3 linked regions of the Neurospora crassa OR74A genome follow. The protein of the gene in region 1 purifies or fractionates together with the protein of each later gene. This does not show direct contact. Links are inferred from orthologs where the notes say so. Each region holds a gene or a part of one and is shown in the gene's direction. Other genes may lie near its edges.

Region 1 (4,847 bases):
CATCAGCAAGGCTCAAGCCCCAGAAGAAGACCCCCAACTCTCCTCCAAGGCCGTCAAGTTGATGCACCGCTTCACGGTCGAGCAGGTTGAAGCTAAAATGAATCAAGTCGAAGAGTCATGAGAGAGGCTATCCTATTATTGGCACTCGTGTGCGTCGATACCAGGGCCTCATTCTCATTAATACGATGCCGGCTTGTCCTGCTTCCCTTGGCCCCGTGCAATGCTTAGGCTGTCCGCCATGGCAGCTCCCAACAAAGTGTAATCCGTTGCGACACTGATCATATGGAATCCCTTGTCGGCATACTGCTTGGCCTGCTCTCCGCCTGTGCAGAAGATGCCGCACTTTTTGCCTGCCGTTACGGCAGCCTTCAGGATCCTGTCAATAGCCTCATCTAGCTCCGGATCCATCTTTCCCTCGATAATCGGGTGGCCGATATTGTTACCCAAGTCAAAAGGACCAATAAAGATGACATCCACAAGCGGAGCTATCTCTTCAACACAGTCCAAGGCTTCCTGTGTCTCGATCTGCACCATGGTCAAGAGACTCTCGTTCGCTTGCTGGAGGTATTCGGTGAAGGTTGGCATGGGGTTGAAGTTTTGCATAGCGATGGGTGATCCAAACCCTCTCTTGCCTTCGGGTGGGAACTTTGCCGCGGTAACCAAGTTTTTGACATCCTCAACAGTCCTGATGAGCGGCGCAAGGATCTGGAGCACGTCAGAAAAATGTCTCCAACACAGGATACTCTTATACACTCACTCCATGCGCACCACTATCCAACGCTCCTGTAAAGGGTACATCAGTAACCGTCTGAGTGATAAGGCAATACGAATGGCACTCACGCTTGACCATCGATGGCTGAAGGTCTGGGATCCGGACAATAGGAGAAACGCCCAGGGCAGCAATGGCCGGAACTGCTTCGTGCATCGCAGCATCTGACCAATATCATTCAGCTCAACAAGCCCCATCATTCACCACCGTATTACGGGTTACCTACCGTCGATGTTTCCATGCTCGCAGTCAACCATTACCCAGTCAGCCCCCGATCGAGCGAGAATCCTCGAGATATTGGCCCCGGGTAGCATCTGCCAGACACCCATAGCAGGGCGGCTTTCCTGGGTGAAGATTTGCTTCAACGAATTGGCCGCCAGCATCTTGGAAGTTGGGTTACCGGAAGACATTGTACGGAGTTGGTGAAGCGGAGTGACGTGAACGACTTTGTTCAGTGAAGAGATATGATGCTTCAGGAGTTTTAACGTACGAAGGGGAGGAAAGGCATGCCAAGTCAGTGGGGATGCAGGTGGAAGCTCGGACTAAGTCAACCCGAACTCTTTTAAAGCAAATCCGATAACACACAGTACACACTATGATTTCAAAGTTGATGTGCAGCTCCGAACCAAGGTCCCGCCGCCACATACTCGAGGTCAACTGTAATAACCTGACGGCAGATGGCGAGGAAATGTACTGGCTGCGTTGGGTGAACAAGTTCAATTGCTGGCCAATTTGGTACACCTTCGGGAGATGTTCGTCCCCTGCCTTCGTCCAAGAGATACACAGTAGGGCGGGGCTCCTACTGCGGGGTTCGCGTCTGTATCTCCCTCCGCATTCGGTTCTACCTAGGCTGTTCTGACTGGAGACACCACAACCTCTGCCGGTATTCGGATTATTGACATGTTCAAACTTTCCGAGTCACGGGAACGGCAGGTTCAATGGGCTTGAATGGTCTCATGGAAGTCCTTCAAGCCATGGTGGACGTTGACATCCGCATCTTGGCCCTGCTATACGTATAAGCTTCCACAGAATTTCATAGGGCTCTTTGAGACTGCCGCAAGTCAGCGACGAGAAGCTCCAGGAGGAGAAAGCTCTGCATTTCTGATGGTAGACCATACGATGATGAAGGCAATTATTCAAGCAGCAACCGAAAACAGTTGAGGGCTGCATTGACACCCCAAAGCGGATAAAAGTAAACAAAGCAACCCTCCCGAATGAAAAGGGGCAAGCTGATGGGTGAGCGTCGCTTTTGCGGCAGGCAATTGAGTGGAGAATGGATCCGCTTCAGAAGCTCCAGCCTTCACCACAGTGCTGGTACGTTGTCTGCCGTGAGCCGTCGTCAGTGATCTGGGCTTGGCGATTCTACGGAAGAACAAGAGAAGCTCCAGCTTCAACGGCGACGTTCTTGTCCCATCCCCACGATTTAACCACATCCCTCCCCGCCAGCATTACGTACCCACTATTCTTCTTTGACGCGGCGCGCCGACCAGGTTGTATTCCTCTTTCGCGATCGGTCAACGAGAAACGAAAACATCAATAACCACGAACCAATTGCCCCATTCGAAGCGACGAACGACCAAACGACCCCATCCGGCCGGGCTTACCAAGATCACACGAAGCGAACAAATTGCCCTCGAGTTGAACCGACGACTTTCTGTCTGCAACCACGTGTTTCGCTTGAATCAATACTCTTCAAGTTAGACCGTGGGCTTTACGTGATACTTTGCTTATCACCGCGGTCTTGGGCCCGCGCATTGCCGGTACGAGAAAACACACAAAGACTACAGTAATAGCATCTACTCATCCGTCACCATGTCGGCGGGCTTGGTAAATTCGTACCTCAACAGTTGGTCTACCCTTCTACCTGAGCCCTTCGGCTTTTTCGACCCCTCTTCCTCTTTCCTCCATTGCTTCGGTCACAAGATCAATTGGTCACGGCATCCCAAAGTTAAAGGATATTCGCAAGACCAGAAAGCTAACAGATCCATCTTTCGTTACTTTAGAAAAGGTTTGCATAATTACAGTCGATGGCCGCACCTTAGTAGGCACACTGATCTCGGTAGACATGAGCACGAATGTGGTCAGTATATGCTCCCTCCCAATCCATACTTCGATACAGTTCCTCTGCCACCTGATAAACAAAACAAAGCATATCGCGAACGACAACTAACCCTCCAACAAACTAGTTCCTACAAAGAGCAGTTGAACGAGTCATTCGCTCCCCCGATGATGACGAGCCCTCGGCCGAGATCGAGCTGGGAACGCACATGATTCGCGGGGACACGGTCTGCCTGGTTGGGTTGGTTGATGAGCCGCTGGACGAGAGCATAGACTGGACCAAAGTCAAGGGGGCTACGATTGGGACGACAAAGCACTAGAATATACCACCGAACCATTGAACCGTTTCTGCGCTATACCTGAGCGCGTGAAGCATGGTGTCACGCTCCCTCAAAACCAAGAAGAGGAGGCAGGAGAAGGAAACCAAGGGGAAAAAAGACAAAAGTCGAACGGTGTGGCGGTCGCGGGCAGTTGACATAAAGGACAACACCGGTGGATAATGTGCGTGGCACACAAGATTTGGTTGCATCATTAGCATTTGACACGCGGAGCTACAGGTTTTCTTTTACTACATTGGTATGCCCAATCGACGATCTTTCTTCCCCTCTTACTTCCCCGTTAAGACTTATGCTGACCGACGAAGAAAAAATAAAACAAGGTGTCACGGGCAGGTCCAGCTCTCGGTTTAAGGAACCCAGCGAATATTGATTTCAGATACCCCAGATCTCAAAAACTCCGCGTGGAATAGATTCGCTTTCTATATACAAAAGAAGAAGAAAATCAACAAGTGCTGCCGGCAGGTTCAACCAAAGAGTCTATCCATCAAGATGGCGGCAAACTTCTCGTCGCCGGGGGTCTTGACCATCCTGTTAATTCTGTTTCCCTTGTTCACGCTTAGCCAGCCCATGTCGTCTCCGGGGACATCGTCAAAGGTGGTCGCATCCAGAGGATCCGACGGATGCGTCTCCACCTTGCTTGACTGCTCACCCGGCTTCGCCCTCTGTCGTCTGTCGATGACATGCATGCCCCTGGTCCATTGGCCGGAGGTCTCAATTCTAATATCTTCCGGCTTCGCCACGGGTTCCCATGCGGGGTCATCCTGGGTCAACATGTACCAAATGCATGCCGGGTCATGGAGGGACAGACCGGGCTCACTGCCGTCGCCAAGCATGGCTTCGACTTTGTTGAAGATGCCTGTCATGAAGGTCTCGATCCACAGCGCAAGCGGGCTGCCGGACTTGGTGATCGGCTGGATGGTCTCGTAGAAGTACTTTTTCCTCAGCTCGAGCGGGGTGGTGATATCAAGAGGGAAAAGGGTCAGCTTAAGCTGCTTGGAAAGCTTGGCGGGGTAAGGGGGCAAAAAAGATTTGCCGTGGATGACAGGGGGCATGGTCGAGCTCGGGTTGGGCGAGGTCAGGGCGTAGACGCGGGCGGCGGCAACGGTATCGGCGAAGCAGTTGAACTCGGCGACGGGGGTCACGTTGCCCTCGACGTTTACGGCACCACCCATGACAACCAGCTCCTTGGCGCGCAGGAAGGTTTCGGGGTCCTCAGCAGCGGCCAGCGCCACGTTTGTCAGGGGACCAACGGCAACGACGGTGACGGTGTTCTCGGGCGATTCCTTCAGGACACGGAGAATCTCCTTGTGCGCTGGAGCCTTGCTTGGGGTGAAGTACTTGGAGTACGAAGGAGGCTCGACTTTTTCACCCTGGGGCTCTTCGTCGCTGAATAGAGAGCGCCAGGTGTCGGCGGGGGAAAGATGAGGTTGCTGGGGCGGTGGTCAGGTCAAACGTACCATGACAAGAAACGCAACGCAGTCCTCGGAGTTCACTTACCTTCTCGTGGACACCATGTAAACCGTCGGCACCATCTGCAATTTGTTAACTGCTTTGTTTCTGAGGGAAAAGCGGTGGGGGTCTCAGTCTGTCTTACGGAAGTGGTCGGCCGCGAGGATCTCATCCTCCAGCGCGTGCTCCGGACCAACGGCGACAATGGGTTTATGGGTGTTGAGGGCACCGAA
Region 2 (5,363 bases), on another chromosome or scaffold:
AAGATCAATGGTATTGTTCTGCCATACATCGACCACTTGAACATACGAGGCTCGTTGCATCAGAGGACCGCGAAGGAGGGCCGTGACTGTGACGAGGATAGATACTGTACAAACGTAAGTGATGATGCCATAATATCTCTGATGTGGTAAAGACCGGGGCAGGGGAGTATTGAAATTCTAACCTAAACTGACGCGAATCGCCTTTCCCTGGAAGATGGACTTGACTGCGCCCATGGTGCTTGAAGATCCGGCCCAGTTATGGTGGAGGCTGCTAATCTGTATATCGTGTCAATTGATATATCATACTGACTGACAGCCGAGAGATGCCGGAACTCAACTGGTAGCGGCGTTGTTGCTTGGACCCAGAAGAATATCACGGCCGCTTGGGCAAAGGCAAGCCCCATCAACGCGTTTGCAAGAGTCGATGTGTACGCCAACAAAACACCGGGTTGTCTGAGCCCGGACCAGTTCTTTTCCGAACCACCATCGCTCTCGAGAACGACTCCTATAGCAATTCCTGTACCTAGTCCTTGCAGTTAGCATTGTCGGTACTTGGTCACAGCCTCAGTGTTGTGGTGAACGTAGGAACGAGTACTCACAGCTTATACAAAAGATCAGCGGAATTATCCCAAACCAGGGAAAACGTCTGAAGCCGCCTGGTTTCCAAGAGATCTTACCTGCGGAGTCATTTGATGAGTGTTTGATATGAGAAGACATCGGGTTTTTGATCAGCGGCTCCATGACTATCACATCAAGCTCTCCTGTGATGGACGAGCAAGAAGGTCTGGACCGAATATGTGAGTGGTAGTAAAGGGTGAAGAAGCGAGCTAGATGCCCATACTTATGAGATTTAGTCAACAGGAGGGTCTCGAAATTGCACATTGGTGGTTCGAGTGGGCGGCGCTGGAGTAGCTTTCCTTCAGTCGCCATGAGTGCTTTGAGACAGTGTATGCAGATTGGAAGCACCTTGTGTACAGACGTTCAAGTTGTGCGAACTCGGATCCCGCTGTATACTCAATCAGGGACGTGGTACTGAATAAATATACCTAGGTAGACGGCCGGCAAGGAGCTAAACCCAGCCTAAATTCATTGCAGAATAAAAAGGCATAGGCTCAGTCATCGTGTGCCGTTGTACAGCATGTTTATTGTAAACAGGAAAACCTGTGTTACGAAGTCTCGGTGAGGGAGTATATTCGCCTTGCATGGTGCCGCCTTTGCGGTTAACCTGACCGTGAAGGTTGAATGGTGCGAGGCATAAATGCTGTAGTTGCCGCACCTGCACAGAAAGAATTTAAATGGGAGGTTGAAGTTGGACATTGTTGGCTAGGCTGATCGCAGGCATTGCCATAGATGAATAATGCATTTCCCTTAGTGATGCTGCAACACGAAGAGCAGACGAGCATCTGGGTGAAGTTGTCCCACTTCACGCCTCACTGAGCCAGGCCATTTCAGTTGCCGACGGCAGGAGCGCTGAAATATCGTCATAGTTGTCTTCTATGGCCATCATGGCTCCGCTGACTGGTGATGGTGAAGACGGGAAAGGAGGTAGATGAATGATAGGAGGAAGTAAACAACGAAAGTGGAATTAAGCCGCCAAGCACTGGTGGAGTCGTAGACTGTTTACTTGGCACTGTGCCTGCCATTCGTTCGTCAAATGCCAAGAGCGCCTGGACCAGTGGCAGGCAGGCTTCAGTGCCCTGGAGTTCGACTTCCACTTCGACTTGCAGCCTGCCGGTATTTTGCCGCTAACTCAAATGTTTGGAGCTACCTCTACGGCCACCACGGTCACAATCCTAGCCACCGCGTCTCTACAATACATCACGAATACAGAAAACCGCCACCATGTCTAGACGGGATTTCCTCAGTCAACCCGCACCCGAGAACTACGTCGCCGGTCTCGGTCGTGGTGCCACGGGTTTCACTACACGATCCGATCTTGGTCCCGCGCGCGAGGGTCCTAGTGAAGACCAGATCAAGGCGGCCGTCGCGAAGAGATCTGCACAGCTAGGTCTGACCGAGGCCAAGGACGACGACAATGAAGACGATGGCCGCTATCAGGATCCCGACAACGAAGTCGGCTTGTTCGCCGGCGGCATATACGAGAAGGACGACGAGGAGGCAGATCGGATATGGAAAGAGGTAGACGACAGGATGGCGAAGCGGCGACAGAAGCAAAGGTTAGTCATTACCTCGTATACATCACTTGACATCCTACATAAATTCACAAAACACCCTTCTACCCCTTCCCCAACACTTTCAAGCAAGCATGTGGTTTATCGGTCAAGATAGATGAAAAGCAGAGTACCGACAAGAAATCGCATTTTCACAGGGAAGCACGAGAAGAAGCCGAACGATTAGAGTACGAACGAAAGAACCCCAAAATCCAACAGCAATTCGCCGGCCTCAAACGAGCGCTCGAGACGGTCACCGACGAAGAATGGGCAAACCTACCAGATCCCAAGGACCTTACCGGCAGGACCAAGAGGGCACGCCAGGCTCGCATGGAGCGCTTCTACGCCGTTCCCGACAGTGTCCTCGCTGCCGCGCGAGATTCCGGCCAGTTCGGTACCACCGTTGCAGAAGACGGCACCGCCACCGAAGGGGTCAACAAGGATGGCACAGTTACAGATTTCGCAAAGATCGGTGCGGCTCGCGACAAGGTGCTGAGGGCGCGCTTGGAACAGCAATCACAGTCGAGTAGCGTGGCCACGGCGGGAAGCGCGACGAGTATCGACCCCAAGGGCTACCTGACATCGCTGTCGAGCATGCAGGGTGCGGAACAAAGCATTGGAGACATTGAGCAGTTCAGGAAGATGCTCAAGTCGGCTGTCGACTCGAACCCCAAACAGGCAGCCAGTTGGATTGCTGCAGCGAGATTGGAAATCGCGGCGGGAAAGCCTGGTGCTGCCCGCAGCTTGATTGCCAAGGGCTGCGAACACTGCCCGAAGAGCGAGGATATTTGGCTGGAAAACATTCATTTGAACGACAACCGGAACGCCAAGGTCATTGCGGCACAGGCTATTCAAGCCAACCCACACTCGGTCAAGCTTTGGGTGGAAGCGATGAAGCTGGAAAACGACCCTAGATCAAAGAAGAAGGTTATCCGGAGAGCTCTCGATCATAACCAAGAGTCCGAGGCGCTATGGAAGGAGGCTGTCAACCTCGAGGAGGACGTCGAAGACGCCCGCATTCTACTAGCCAAGGCGACGGAGCTTATCCCGGAGTCGCTCGACCTCTGGTTGGCACTGGCCCGTCTCGAGACTCCCGAAAACGCCCGCAAGGTTCTCAACAAGGCCGTCAAGAAGCTTCCCAACTCGCACGAACTCTGGATCGCCGCCGCTCGCCTGGAAGAACAACTAGGCGAAGGCAAGAAGCGGCCCGTGATGAAGAACGCCGTCAAGTTCCTCGCCAAGCAGAACGCCATGCCCAAGCGCGAGGAATGGATCGCCGAAGCAGAAAAGTGCGAAGAGGAAGGCGCCGTCATCACTTGCAGCAACATCATCGAAGAGACGCTTGGCTGGGGTCTCGACGAGGACGATGACCGCAAGGAGCTCTGGATGGAAGACGCGCGCGCCTCCATCAACCGGGACAAGTTCGCCACAGCGCGCGCCATCTACGCCTACGCCATCCGCGTCTTCCCCAACAGCAAATCGCTCTACACGGCCGCCATCGACCTGGAGCGCAACCACGGCAGCAAGGAAGACCTCTGGCACGCGCTCGAAAAGGCCGTCGAGGCCTGTCCGCACTACGAAGTCTTCTGGCTCATGCTCGCGCGCGAGAAAGCCGCCGAGGCGGGCGTCGACGAGGCACGCCTCGTCCTTGCCCGCGCCTTCAAGCAGAACCCGGACAGCGAGGACATCTGGCTGGCGGCCGTCAAGCTCGAAGCCGACAACGGTTTCATCGACAAAGCCCGCGAACTCCTCAAGACCGCGCGCCAGAATGCGCCCACCGATCGCGTGTGGATGCGCTCCGTGGCGTTTGAGCGTCAACAAGGCGTCAACGAGGCCGCTTTGGATCTCGTCCAACAGGCCCTACAGCTCTTCCCTTCCAAGCCCAAACTCTGGATGATGAAGGGCCAAATCTACGAAGACCTCGGCCAACTTGGTCCTGCGCGGGAAGCCTACAGCACCGGCGTGCGCGCCGTCCCTTCGTCCATCCCGCTCTGGCTTCTGTACTCTCGTTTAGAAGAAAAGGCCAACAATGTCGTCAAGGCGCGCTCGGTCCTCGACCGCGCCCGACAAGCCGTGCCCAAGTCCCCGGAGCTATGGACGGAACTCATCCGCGTCGAGCGGCGCGCGGGCAACTTGAACCAGGCCAAGTCGCTCATGGCGCAAGCGTTACAGCAGATGCCCAAATCGGGCTTGCTGTGGGCGGAAAGGATCCTCAACCTCGAGCCGCGCACGCAGCGGAAATCGCTGCTTGCCGAGGCGGTGAAAAAGGTGGAAGACGATCCGATCCTGCTGGTCACGGCCGCGAGAATTCTGTGGGCGGAAAGGAAGCTGGACCGGGCGCAGAACTGGTTCGAGAAGGCGCTGTTGCTGGATCGCGATGTGGGCGATACGTGGGCGTGGTATTACAAGTTTTTGGTGCAGCATGGGACGGAGGAGAAGAGGGCGGATTTGGTGGCCAAGTGCGTGTTGGTGGATCCTAGGCATGGAGAGGAGTGGACGAGGGTGGCGAAGGATCCGAAAAATGCGGGAAAGAAGACGGACGAGGTGTTGAAGTTGGTGGCAGAGACGTTGTCTTGAGGGGGGTTGTTTACTATGTAGACGGACTATTTGTGATGCTAATGTGGTGTTGAGGCATGATCAGCCCTGGGTTTGGGTAAAAAAGACAAACAGACTCGTTAGAGCAGCGCAAATTTCATCTGATTCAATCACGATCGGGGCTGTTATGTTTCTTTGTTTTGATGGTTCGCAATTGTTCGAATTAACTTGTTCCATAAAGTCCTTTCAAATGTCCTAACAAGTCCTAGAACTCCCGAATCATTCATGGATGATGCATTAGCTTTAGCGTGCGTAACGTAGCAAACCCTAACCTCCTCCCCCCCAAACTCATGATATCATTAACCTTTTCATCATTATCAATCATAAACAAACGCCTGACATGCTTTCCCTTCGTCCGTCGAACTTGCCGTCGTTATTAGTTTCGGTGTTTATTTGGGGATCGCCGCCAATTTACTTGGAGTTGCCGCTACCAAACCAGCTGGAAACTCCAGCTTTGGCCTCGGCAGCCTTCTGCTCCACGGTGCGGTCGAACTGGTCAATCTTCTTGAGCGCTTCGGCCTTGGTGTCCTTGGCGAGGGCTTCGGCTTGCGACTTGGTTGAAGAGTAGGTCTTGTCTGCTTGGGAGACCTGTTTCGC
Region 3 (4,943 bases), on another chromosome or scaffold:
AGGCAAGACAATACCTTGAGACCTGACCAAGAGAGAAACACGGAAGGAGTGGGCCTCCGGTTGACTAAAGCAGGTACGACGCCCTCGTGTAGGAAATCCAGGGCCAATACGACCTTCAAGTGTGATCTCGGTTTGACAGGACCACGTAGTCCAGGCAGTCTGCGTTCTTTTTCTTGAGGTGAAGCAAACAGCGAATGGAATTCTCGATTCACTAAAAAAGGATCTTGTGACAAAACGAACCGATCCCACGCTGGGAGACGGACGGGCATAAGTAGGAGACGGGAAGCCCACATCACCAGGGGTAAAAGTCTGCACGACGGCCAAGTCAACTCCTCAATTACCGGAACTGATGGAGTGACCAGACCAGAGATCTTCCACTCGGAACTGAGATGTCATGTAGCGTCCAGCGCTAGAAGTTGGCAGACACCTCCTGGAGAGTGGTGAGACGTCCAATCAGGGCAAAGACGAGGACATGATGGTGGGAGGTGGGATGCAACCGGAGCTGCCGTCGAGCTTGTCAAAGCTTGCTAGTACCGCACCATCACCACACGATCCAGCTCACACAGCGAGATAACAAAGAAGGTGGAGAGAAAAGACCGAGAACTCGGAGCAACCAAGACGGAGGAGCAGACGCACACAGATCATGGTCTCTCGATGCACATGCATGCAGCCTATAACAGCCAGTGCTATGGAAGATCAGTCCACGCCAAACCCACCTGCCGCAGCTCGAGGTTGAGACGGTTAGTTGCCTCGCCCATTCAGCGGTGCCGGGGCGGTTCGTGGGGTTTGATCATAGGGTTTGGGCATCAAGCTGACAACACAGCAATTGGCCGGCGGCCCACTTGGCCAGCCCGTCACTGCGTTTTGAAAATGGGACAAGGCCAGATGGCCCCTTACTCGCTGGACTACGTAGCCGTGCAAGCCGTGGTCGTGGCCGACAGGGAGCGAGGATGGAGGCATGTATGTAGTAGCATGATGCAGAAGGACCCGGGTACGGCATCTCTCGGGGCGCGAGGAAGTCTGGAGAACGTCGAGGGGCGTTTTCTGTCCTGTATCACGTCCCGTCCTTGGCTGATAGGCAATGGCTAGACGAGGCCGTCGAGAATGTGGGAGTTGCTCGTCAACGGTTGGCTGGTGGTATGGGGCAAAGCGGGAGGGGAGTGACTGTCCAATATTCGGGGACAAGGGTGAATTGAGAACCGAAGGACCTCACATAATTCAGCGTATAGAACATCGAAGAAGGCCTCATTGAGAAAAAGGTTGGGGATGCTGTGTTCAATGCGTTGGACAATCCCATCCCCGTGACGGCCGCCATCATGCGACGACTCGGAACATGAGCCAGGAAAGTTGAGCGATAACGGCGTTCGGGGTGCTGAACCAGACAGTTCATACTTTGATTGAGTACAAGCGTATGACAGCAGGCCGGTAAATTCCACTTACTGCCAATGGGTTGAAGAAAGAAGGTTTATGTCAGTGACGATGACGAGGTTTTGGATGACCGAAGACCACCAGTTCACTGAATGTGGGGACAGCGCAGAAGAGGCGTGTGGGGAAGCCTCCACACTTCCTTGTAGTGTAGGACCTCAATGCGCGGTACGTACCGTGAGATCTGGCAGCTGTCTTGCAGCTGACAAGATCAACTAAGCTCTCCGACGAAATTCCCAGCAGCACCGGGCTGACAGGGCTGCCGCGTTCACGTCAAAGGCAACTGATCGCATCCACTATCATCGCGAACCAAGTCGCCTGTACTTACGGCATACCATCTAGGTAATCTCTAAAACCAACACCAAGAAAGATCAGTTCGCCCCTCCACATCGCCAACCAACCTCACCACGTAATAACACAGCCGCCAACATGACTTCCACAATTGGTATCCCCATCAAGCTCCTCAATGAGGCTCAGGTAAGTAAACACCATTGCTATGCACAGACTGTAGTGCTGCCAAAAGCTAACCAACCACTCCTGTCCCACAGGGCCATATCGTCACTCTCGAGATCACCTCCGGCCAGACCTACCGTGGCAAGCTTATCGAAGGTACTGCTAACCCCCATGAACTCTTCATTCCCATTCACTCCTCTAAACTGGCCAGCCATGCTAACCAATGCGCTCCCCCGCAAAACAGCCGAGGACAACATGAACGTCCAACTCAAGGACATCACCGTCACAGCCCGCGACGGGCGCGTCAGCCATCTCGAACAAGTCTACATCCGCGGCAGTCATGTGCGATTCTTTATTGTGCCGGATATGTTGAGGTACGTTCAAACCAGGCCACCACCAACTCATCCGTTGCGATTCTTCTCCCCAGTTGCCCCCTACCTACCCAATAAGTCGGATAGGACCCAAGCTAATCATTTCCTCCTCCTCTTTTTTTTGTGTTCCCATACAGAAACGCCCCCATGTTCCGCTCCCGCAACGTCCGCGGCCGCGGTGTCGGTCTCGCCCGCGGTCGTGCGACAGTCAGTAGGGCGCGCGCCGGTGGTCGTGGCGGCGCCAGATAGAAGACAGCGAGCGCCGCCTGTCGTCAGACTCATCGACCAAGACCAGACCCAGACCGAGAATCATTGAAAATTTCACAACGGAATGCAATATTGGGGCACAATAATCGGCATATTATGGCTCCTTTTTTTTTTCCGCGCGCAACGACAACCGCTATTTTGATATTTTAGGCGTTTTGGGTGGGGGGAACCAATAAAGCAAACTTTGATCTTCTTTCTACCGAAAATGGGGGGCAGCGAGTTGGATGGAAAGAGAAAAGTGTGGGGGGCAAGCTTTGGATGCCCAGAGAAGGAGGAACAGGAGGGATAGGGAGGAGGGTGGCTCAAGGCCGGCCAGAGATGAGAAGGGACTGGAGTGAGTGCTGGGGCTGGGATTGGAGGGTTGAGAGCCTCGATGAGGAGTGATATGGAGGACGCCAGCTGGCCCCGCTCATCCATCTGCTGCCAAATGATGATCATGGGAGAAGCGTGGCGTATCCAGGGGTTTTCACGCTCCGCCAGCTGGACGATAATGGTCGGTCGATGCAACAGCCGCTACCCGTCCGTCAGCACGCAACGAAAACCTGGCTTCATCACGGTTAGCAGCCAGAGCGAACCAGGTGTTCAGCCAGCCTCAGGTCTCCCCCCAGTTGAGTCCTTGGCCAAGGAGCGAGCACATACAGCATGGATCGAATCGCACCGAAAGCGAAACTCCTACTAGCCCTGGTTCTGATATAGACAGGGTACGTATTCAACGTCTTTGTCTATTATGTTGTTGTACACACAACCCATTCCATCTTCAGCCTACGCTGACAGTTTTTGATATCTACCACAAAAGTCCGATGCCCCCTTTTTACTCCCACTTCGGCTTGCTTTTTTAATGGTACATAAGAGTGTAGCCCTGGTTGATCTGTTGCGTCCGCCGGTTCTAACCCGCCTGTCCCTATATGTGAGGCTCGCATAAGACGAGCTTGCAACAATGCTCTGAGTGAGAGTGAATCGTGTAGACTAAATATACAACTGGCTGTTTAAGGGTTGAGTTGGAGAGGGCATATTGTCAAAACACCCACCTAAGGGACTAACAGGCAGGGCGAGAGGGCTGTGGAAAATAATAAGCACAAGAAGTCCGAAACTGACCAAGTTCGGTTTGCAGAATGTCCTTCTAAACATCTGTTGCAACCCATCATTTCTACTTCAGCCTCGCAAGCGCTTCCTCGGCCCGCTTGAGGACACTCTTGGCCTCCTTCAGCTCCTCAATCTCAACCGCCACATCCTCGGGAACTTCAGGAGAAACGCTATCCAGCACCTCGGCAATGCTGGCTTCGGTTGCGCGAATAGCCTTGCGTCCTTCCTCACGAACCTCGCCCTCCCAGAAATCTCTCGCCCTCTCCCACCTTTTCTGCAAGCCCCTCAAACTCAAAACAATACCCAAGGCGGCGACGGCTCCACACTCATATATTCCGAATCCAGAGAGCCAGGACATGCCGCCGAGTGCCGTGGTGGCTCCCGCTAATGTTGATGACTGTAGCACGAGCTTCTGCGCCAGTGCTTGCAGGGCCGGAACAGTTTCCGCTAGTAGATAGTTTCTTGTGAAGGGGATATGCGCAGGCCAATTTCCCTTGGTCTCTGATTCCGTAGTAGCAGCAGTAGTAGCAACACTGCTCTCGCCCTCGGGGAACGACGGTGGAACCGCCGGGCCGGAGTACGTCACCGGCTTTTCTCCGCCCGCAGTAGTAATTCCAGCCTCCTGGAGCCTGCCGGCCAAAAAGATCAAGCGCTTCTCAGCCTCGGGCAAGAATCGTTGGGCAATCATCTCAGACGACAGCATGCCCACGTCATCCACCCGCCAAAACAGCTTCCACCAGTTCATCTGCCTCCACGCTTCGCCGACGAACGCAATCTCTAACTGCTGCTGCAGCTCCTCGTGCGCATCCTTGGCCCAGTCCGCCAGCGCCTGGTTCAGGCGCGCAATCGTGTGCGGCGACGGGCCCCCTTCTACCGAGACCTTCATGTCGCGGTACTCGGCCGCCTGGAGCGCCGCGCCGGCGTTGTGCAGAATGGACTCAATCAGCTTGCGCACGGGCGCCTTGGTGGCCCCTTCCTGCTCAGCTTGCGACAGCACGTTGGATCGCAGCCACTTGTTGATGTGTCCCACGCCGGCCTCGGTCCAGAGGGCTTCGTACTTCATGGCGTTGCTAGCGCTCTCACGGAAGAGGTCGAGGCCCTGTGCACCAGCCTCGACGCTAGTGATGACCAGGGACGGGCATGCGGCCTTGTCTTCGGCGCTGATCCTCTTGAAGTTGGCGACGGCCGTGATGGTGTCTTGGCTTTCTGGGCTGATGGGCAGTGACAGGATGGAGGCGGCGCTCAGGACGCCGTCGGCTACCAGCACGGCCATGTGCACGGGCGTGACGATGGGCGCCGAGTGGCCGGCTGTGGTGGCTGCTGTGTCGACGGCGGGCACGAGGA

What was found.
Region 2: the proteins of NCU03085 (region 1) and NCU04606 purify together in Saccharomyces cerevisiae (affinity purification with mass spectrometry; 3 studies listed by BioGRID, with this or other methods). This does not show direct contact. The link is inferred for Neurospora crassa OR74A from reciprocal best matches to the Saccharomyces cerevisiae genes LSM8 and PRP6.
Region 3: the proteins of NCU03085 (region 1) and NCU03625 purify together in Saccharomyces cerevisiae (affinity purification with mass spectrometry, with the first as the bait; 3 studies listed by BioGRID). This does not show direct contact. The link is inferred for Neurospora crassa OR74A from reciprocal best matches to the Saccharomyces cerevisiae genes LSM8 and SMD3.

Annotation. Positions count from the first base shown.
Region 1 is NC_026501.1:4,492,457-4,497,303, reverse strand, and holds NCU03085 (small nuclear ribonucleoprotein Lsm8), read left to right. Parts: upstream 1-2,101; 5' UTR 2,102-2,581; coding exon 2,582-2,615; intron 2,616-2,772; coding exon 2,773-2,849; intron 2,850-2,955; coding exon 2,956-3,147; 3' UTR 3,148-3,629; downstream 3,630-4,847. Other genes in the region: NCU16385 (glutaredoxin domain-containing protein), read left to right, coding at 1-121; NCU03086 (HpcH/HpaI aldolase/citrate lyase family protein), read right to left, coding at 178-705, 758-783, 841-933, 996-1,179; NCU03084 (inosine-uridine preferring nucleoside hydrolase, variant), read right to left, coding at 3,630-4,595, 4,663-4,697, 4,760-4,847. UniProt on the Saccharomyces cerevisiae protein: Component of the nuclear LSM2-LSM8 complex, which is involved in spliceosome assembly. The LSM2-LSM8 complex plays a role in the biogenesis of the spliceosomal U4/U6-U5 tri-snRNP complex by accelerating PRP24-mediated annealing of U4/U6 di-snRNA.
Region 2 is NC_026505.1:1,527,518-1,532,880, forward strand, and holds NCU04606 (pre-mRNA splicing factor), read left to right. Parts: upstream 1-1,749; 5' UTR 1,750-1,842; coding exon 1,843-2,177; intron 2,178-2,289; exon of another isoform or gene 2,290-2,329; coding exon 2,330-4,748; 3' UTR 4,749-4,882; downstream 4,883-5,363. Other genes in the region: NCU04607 (hypothetical protein), read right to left, coding at 47-104, 183-234; NCU04605 (hypothetical protein), read right to left, coding at 5,178-5,354. UniProt on the Saccharomyces cerevisiae protein: Participates in pre-mRNA splicing. Part of the U4/U5/U6 tri-snRNP complex, one of the building blocks of the spliceosome.
Region 3 is NC_026505.1:1,886,336-1,891,278, reverse strand, and holds NCU03625 (small nuclear ribonucleoprotein Sm D3), read left to right. Parts: upstream 1-1,670; 5' UTR 1,671-1,854; coding exon 1,855-1,902; intron 1,903-1,973; coding exon 1,974-2,034; intron 2,035-2,122; coding exon 2,123-2,252; intron 2,253-2,386; coding exon 2,387-2,498; 3' UTR 2,499-3,629; downstream 3,630-4,943. Other genes in the region: NCU03624 (hypothetical protein), read right to left, coding at 3,664-4,943. UniProt on the Saccharomyces cerevisiae protein: Plays a role in pre-mRNA splicing as a core component of the spliceosomal U1, U2, U4 and U5 small nuclear ribonucleoproteins (snRNPs), the building blocks of the spliceosome. Also binds telomerase RNA and is required for its accumulation.